Linked DNA regions of Saccharomyces cerevisiae S288C. The protein of the gene in region 2 interacts with the protein of the main gene of each other region in a pairwise test. Each region holds a gene or a part of one and is shown on either strand. Other genes may lie near its edges.

Region 1 (4,188 bases), on a different chromosome or scaffold from region 2:
CTGATGCGACCTGTCGTCTTCTTCTTTTACGGTTTGTAGCTTTGAAATCATAACGGCATTCTTTTTGATGTTTAGAGCAGTTCAGACAAGGATTGTTACCGTCGCATTTAACCTTTCTCTTCTTGCAAAGTTCACAAGCTTTTTGAACCCTGAGTCTACCTTTTCCATTTTCTTTACTTGCGGCTGTACTAGTATCAAGTGCATCATCAGTATTCCCGATAGCTGTCATTTCTCTGAACCGTTCCTTTCTATTAGTATGGGCCCATGTCCTATCAATTTGCCGACTTCGTGCTAAAAAAAACTGAAGGAGAACAATCACTACGATGATGAGCTTGATTGCTACTGAACGATGCTCAAATACAAGTATATAATATATTTCATGATTGATACTCATGTTCAGCCGGGTATCTTTTTTCTTTGTTTTGAGAGGCTGACGGTGACTCTTTTAATTTGAACAAGGAAATGTATCATGCACGTATGACAGAGAGAAATAGTAGTACAAAAATCAAATATTACGTGAATACGTGAGATGAATAGCCGATATTAAGTAGATAATGAGAGGTTTCAGACGAAGCACATAGTAAACTCAGAAATATGCACTTGCGCGATAAAGTGAAATTACCTTCATATTCTTGCAAGAGGAACTTATATTTTTGAGAAGAACTAGCATAAGCTTGCTGTGTTTAGTGTTCCTTTACGCAATTAGCTTTTCGAACGTCCAATAGCATATTTGGTTTGTTTCAGCTTTAATTTTTTTTATTTTGAATGCACTATATAGCAAAAAAATTAACTAAAACCTAATCCATTTTGTTATAAATAGCTTTTAAGGTTGATATTAACGATTCTGTATTATGAGAACCATTTATTAGATCAAGTGAATCAAAATTTTTTGAAGCGATGAGAGCATTTTTTAAATTTTGCATAAATTTGTTTTGCATTTTTGCTTTGTTGTGTTCATATCCTTTACTTCGTAACAGTATAACTTCGATTAGCATTTTGCTTGCTTTTACATAGTCACCCTTATTCATGTAGGCGATCGCTAAATTATAACGAACCCTTGTAAAATTCGGTCTTAGTTGTTTGCATTTATTGTACGCATTTATCGCAGAGTGATACGACTTAGTATTGGCCAAAATAGCACCATATCTATTCCATATTGTTCCATTATTGGGCTTTTCCAGTAGTAAAAACTCTAAGCATTTCTGAGATTGCTTTATTTTCTGATCCGAATAATATAAGATTGATAATACTGAATATATATCATACTGATCTTTTTTTTCTATACCCATATTCAACAGGGATTCTAGAATATGCGCCAAATGGGCCTTTTTCGGAATTTTATTAATGCTATCTTTGTTTTCCCCCGCAGAAGGTTGGAAAACCTTCGAAAATTTTGAAAGAATCCATTTGTGAAAAAGTTTCAATGACTCTGATTCATTTTGTTGATTTATATGGTGAATTGCTAAGTTTTCCAATGCAATTGTATTATTTGGATCCAAATTTAAGCAATTTCGCAAAGCAAGCTCTCCATTGCTTTCGCTTTCATTTTCAAAATTAACTATACCTAACTTCAACCATGCATTTATATGGCTTGGATCTTGTGAAATGGCTGCTTCAAAGGCCATTACTACTTCGTTCAAATTGGAACCGTTGTCCATTAGTACACATCCTATTTTATATGGGTCCCGTTCCGTTATGTAGATGTTTGATTTTAGGAATTGATATGTTTGTGGTACGGATGACAGCATATGCATGAAATCAATTGTTTCTTCGTATTCTGCCACATATTCATAACCAACAGTTTTTTCTTCTACATTGTTTTCTATCTTTAGCTCATTTAGTAACTGATTTTCGATTGATTTGAACTGAAATTCCCAGCCATTAGAAACAGATGAGTGTTCATTGTAAGATATTCGACAAGGATATATACGATTTTGCTGATATGCCGTACTATAATATTGTGCAAAGTACCTATTGTGCAAATTAGCGGAGCGTTTCTCATGTTTGTTTCTACTGGGCTTGGTCACATCAGCATTTTTATTCTTGGGGAAACAAGAGAATTCCTTTGACCACTGGTTCTCAAGTCTTGAAAATTCTTTTTCGCTGACACCACTATGTTGAGATTTATCTGCCGGTAGTGCGGCCCGAAAATCTATCTTACCAATACTGCTGCCGGTTTGACAATTGGTAAAGATGTAATCTATTGTTCTAGCATCTCGCGCGGCGCTATCGTTAGTCTGAAAATCAGAGAATTTACCCAGATTATTCCATTTCAAGCCTAATCCATTGTTGATCTTATGAATTGGGTTGTCACCAGTTATGGAACAAGTAACTTCGTTCATCGTGCTTACAAAAGGTACCCTTTATTCTTAATGATTCTCCACTCAAAAAAAAAGAATAAAATAAAATAAAACGGATAAGAGTACGAAAAAAAGTGATGACCTTTTCTTTATTTATTGCCACTGTTTGGGTGAGAATATTGGGGTAAGAGCGCTTTGCCCCAAGTTTTCTGTACGATTTCAATGCGTATCAATCATCCTCTCCGGCGTTAGTAAGGTACTACCAAGGCCTCTACCGTTCCCAGGAAACTCTTCGGGTTTTGTCTGCGCCGCGCCGCTCTGATTGCTTTTCTTTTGGCGGCTATTTAAGTTCCCAGGTGCACATCAAAACCGGCAGGAAGCAAAGTAAATTAAGTTTGCACTTACAAACCCAAATAAGATCTCAATGTATTGCGTGCGCTCATATTCACATATGCGCAGGAACAATCTTGTCATATCTGAATCAGGCTGACGCATCCATGTCGTGTACATTTCTTGTAGGCTTGAAACTTGAACGGTACGAGAAACAAATTGGAAACGAATAAAAAAGTAAGAGAAGGAGGACATCCTCGTCCAAGTTGCGGTATGTATGCGGCAATGAACTACTCCGAAAAAATGCGGAAAAGAGGCATATTTGACCCAAAGCAGTAAAGAGTTTCGTTATATCAACCGTGGCGGGATAGCATTCGGTGGTCTGACAATTAATAGGATGATCGGGCTAGGGCTGGGCTTGTGGAAAAAAGGATAGTAAAAATTTTCTCTAGTAGCATACGATGTGATGCTTCCAATTTTCAGAACATGTTTGTACAATAACTCTATTATTGATTTTTTTTTTTACTAATATCGTTTGTAGGGTAGAATTATTCTTACTAAATATCCTTTTCAACTTAAACATATACGGACGCTTGAGATACACTCTTGTCTTAATCCGCTCGATCTTGGTAAGGGCGTTGTGACGCTTAATATAAAAGGCAAGCGCAGAATATAATTTTTCCGCAGCATAAGCACCCAATCAAGACAATTCTATAGGAATAGTGTGGCATACGCAGTGATTACCGGAAACCCTTCATAATGTTTTCCTTTTTCCCAACAAGATTGAACTTTGATATCGTTTTGTAACTAAAATCTTTTTTGACAAATGAAATTATATGAATTATAACTTATCAACTTTATGAGAAGCAAGTAGACTTGGTACTGTAAAAAATATAGTCCCACGACAGCGGTATCTATCTTTCTTACCCTCTTTTACTTTTCACAAAATCATGTTGATTTTTCAGTTAACCCAGTTTAAGATCATGAATGGAACGGGAAACAAATACGTAACAACTGGGAAAAACAAACCTGCCGATGTTTGAATGCACTTTATTTATGGGAAAGAGAAAGCTTTGTCTGACAACTCCGAAAGAAAATACAAAGAAGAATTGAGACCTTCAGTACTAATGTCCCCCTCGCTCTTTTTTTTTTCTCTTTCGCAAGAATATCTGCGTATGCCTTTTTAGAAACTATTTATTCAATATATTTATACACGATATTTTGTGTGTATAACAGATCACCATCTTTTCCCGATCACTTTCTCCAATCTATATCGCTTGGCCTGTAAAGCATTATCTGCCTGCTGTACATTGTTCTCGATGTCAAACATTCTAGTGTTTTGTGCTTCAAACTCTCTGCCAAAAGCGTGAGCCATAATTTTCAAGTCACCACTCACCGCTTTTATTTGTTCTAGGTTTCCGTACAAGTCGATTTCCATTTGGTTATCTTCTTCATCGGCTTCAAACTGATACTTCTGGGCATCTCTAAGAATACGCTGTCTTTCCACCCCTTGGCCATACCGTCCATATTCAGAACTTAGATTTATGGCTAAATTTTT
Region 2 (3,366 bases):
TCCTTTTTTGAACGTTTTTATCAGGAAATAATCCTGATACGATTCAAACTCCAAGGGTTTAATGGATTTATTAAAGTCTTTTATTTCATTTATTAACCTCCTCTTATCATTGATTAAACTTTGCAAATCACTATTTTTTATGATTTCCGTATTTGTACTCATTCGCACTTTCTTATAACACCTTCCTGTTGTTCTAATTAAATTCTTTTAATTAAAATTAATAGTTATTTTATATGCAATGTCTTATGATCACTTCTAGCTGTCAGTGTTCCTAGGATAGTGTTCAACAGCGTTTAATATTAATATATTGAGATACTTCCGCCAGATAAAAGAAATCCTTACGTTAAATATATATCATTCGTGTGCCGCGAAAATTCTTTCTTTAGCAACAGATATAAATCAGGTATAGAAAATCAAACGTCAAAGAAGGCGGCAGAAAAGTCACACTATTCCTTTTTCTCGTCGATATTTTCAATAGTTTTATAAAAATTGTATGTAGCTCATATAAATATCAATTATCGAATTACAATTTACCCAAGGAATCGATCATATCTAACAAATCATCTTCCAATTGAGGTTTGTCAAATTGTTTCCGATCTACTTCAGGTTGGGCATTATGCTCTTGACCCTCTTTGCTAGTAATTCCTTGGATCCAATTGCAAACTTGGGATACGAATGGTTTCGAGTTTGGGACAAAATGGGCTCCAGGATGAACCAACAATGTCCTTTTGTTATCGGGCCATGACTCGTACAATGCCATGATTCTAGATTCTGCTACAACTTCATCTAACTCCCCCCTTACATGTAGAGAGGGCACCTGGATAATCCTATGATATTCTTTCTGGTAGGATTGATCTTCTAATTTGAATCCACTAAATGAAATAAAAAATTTTAAAGCGGGCTGTTGTTCATCAGTAAGATTTAATATTCTGTTAAAGTCAGTGACTAAGTAGCCCCCAAGACCTGCACCTTGGCTGAATCCAATGACACCATCAAATGGTCCATTTTCTAGCACGTAGTTACGTAAATAGTTAAACACCTTTTGATCTATTTGAAAGGAATTGAAAGATTCGGGATTTCTAAAGAACCACCCGTATACTTCATCACTAGTCGCTGAGGTGTTGAATTCCTTCGCAGCATCTCTACCCTTTTCTGACTCTGATTGGAATAACGCTTTTTTATCAATTGAATGTGGGGCGCAAGGATAGTATAAATCGTAACCTAACTTCTTCAAATTCTTTCGTAATCCTCCAGTCTTCGCAGAAAATATCTTATCGGATTGGACAAAACCATGTAGCATTAGAACTTTCTTCTTTTCACTCATAATAATAATTCTGGGGTTTGTGGTAGAATTCAGTTTGAAAATGCACCGAAGTAGAACAGATTACTTTCTGTATTACTGCATCCATAGTGTTCTTTATACGCACAACTAGAAAAAGTAAATTTCTATCCTCTGACAACAAAGCGAAAAAGTAGTAAAACTTGATACCAGACCATGCTCCATATGACGATTTAAAAGGTTTATTCTGTCAAGATGTGCCTGCTCGAACTTAATAAGGGGTTTTATTGTATCTGTATCCTAAGTATGCTTGACGGTAATTAAAGAGCTTTAATTGGTTGCCATGACAACGGCTCTTACTAAAATCCATGCTGCAGCGATGTTCAATCATACATACCGTAATCCTCGCGTAAACATTCAGAGAAGTACATGACAAAGTTTGCTGTTCTTTATATCTGTATATATTAAATAATGGGGATAGTGACACCACTTAGCCTGTAAATAAGGAATATTCGCACTATTTAGTCAAAAAATCCATCATCATCATCATTAATGTTGCCATCATCATTTCCACCTATGCCGACATTAAATTTTCCTCTAATACCTGACCTGATCGATTTTTTTTCACCGTAATGCAATTTTCTCTCTTCCCTGGATTCTTCATCGTCTCGGTTCATTATCAGTCTGTTGTCTCCTTCTGCAACAGCGCCAACTTTTACCATAAAATCTTCAAAGTCTTCCATCTTGGAATTATTACCACCCAGTTCTAGTAGCGTTATCATGTTTTTGATTACCTCACCCCGGTAATATACAATTAATGTCGGGCAATTGGATTCGGGATAGTTTTCAATTGCTCTATTGGCAGGTATTTCTACAAATTTTATTTCTCTGAATTTGCATGCAGCAGATTGGAAAAGATGAGACAGAATTCTGCTTTGTAGTTTACTTTGAAGCGAGAGATGAACGAATACGTAGACACCACCGTCATCCTCTTCACCATTGTCATTGGTTTGTGCACCTTCATATTTCTTTCCCTGACTGGCCAAAGTAACCTCTTTGTTGTATTCAGGTTTGTTAATGTGGAAAACTTCTCCAAATTTGGAACGTTCCTGTAATTTGCGGATTTCATTTAATCTTTTGATCTTGTAAGCTTCCAAGAAATCTTCATCTTCATCGTCTTCTAGTTCTTCCAAATCCGACAAGTCTTTATCTTCTAGTCTATTTTCATGCTGCTTGGCAATTGCTTCTTCTAATGCTTCTTCTAACTTTGCAGTGGGCGAAGGTGCACGTTCTGGTATTACACCCTTCGCTCTTAAAATATCGTTCCATTCACTGTCTTCAGATTCGTCCACCTGGACCTGAAACATTGGTTCATTCTGCATTATGTCTGCTGAATATGCCTTTCTTCTCAGTGATGTTTACTCGAAGGCGTTATCTTGTACTGCAGATTTCTTCAGGTCGATCATATAACCTTTTCTTTTTTTCCTCTAGCGGGATTTCCTCTTTTTTCAGTAATTTTTTTTCCAGCGATATTAATACAATGGGAAAATCAGGTCGTCACAATATTACTTAATTCTTTTTTGAATTGTAGAACATAAAGTATTGCTTTATTCATTCTGGTTCGAATTAGTCTCATACTGTAAGATCAAAGCGGCAACGAAGCTCGAAGCTATACAAGCACCCAAAAATATATTTATACCCAAGAATGACTAAGGAAGTACCATATTATTGCGATAATGACGATAACAACATCATCAGATTATTCATTATTAGGCATGGACAAACAGAACACAATGTAAAAAAAATTTTGCAAGGTCACAAAGATACCTCGATCAATCCTACGGGAGAAGAACAAGCCACTAAATTGGGGCATTACTTGCGTTCAAGAGGTATTCATTTTGATAAGGTTGTCAGTAGTGATTTAAAAAGGTGTAGGCAAACTACGGCTTTAGTTTTGAAACATTCAAAACAAGAAAATGTGCCTACTTCCTATACTTCGGGGTTAAGGGAGCGTTATATGGGTGTTATTGAAGGTATGCAGATTACTGAGGCTGAAAAGTATGCTGATAAACATGGTGAAGGCTCCT

Evidence for each region.
Region 1: the proteins of FSH3 (region 2) and PEX9 interact in a two-hybrid assay, tested with the Saccharomyces cerevisiae proteins (one study listed by BioGRID).

Annotation. Positions count from the first base shown.
Region 1 is NC_001145.3:308,362-312,549, reverse strand, and holds PEX9 (Pex9p), read right to left. Parts: upstream 2,343-4,188; coding exon 798-2,342; downstream 1-797. Other genes in the region: STB4 (Stb4p), read right to left, coding at 1-394; SPO20 (Spo20p), read right to left, coding at 3,868-4,188.
Region 2 is NC_001147.6:844,469-847,834, forward strand, and holds FSH3 (putative serine hydrolase), read right to left. Parts: upstream 1,325-3,366; coding exon 524-1,324; downstream 1-523. Other genes in the region: RFM1 (Rfm1p), read right to left, coding at 1-162; PLP2 (Plp2p), read right to left, coding at 1,801-2,661; YOR283W (phosphoglycerate mutase), read left to right, coding at 2,985-3,366. UniProt on the Saccharomyces cerevisiae protein: Serine hydrolase of unknown specificity.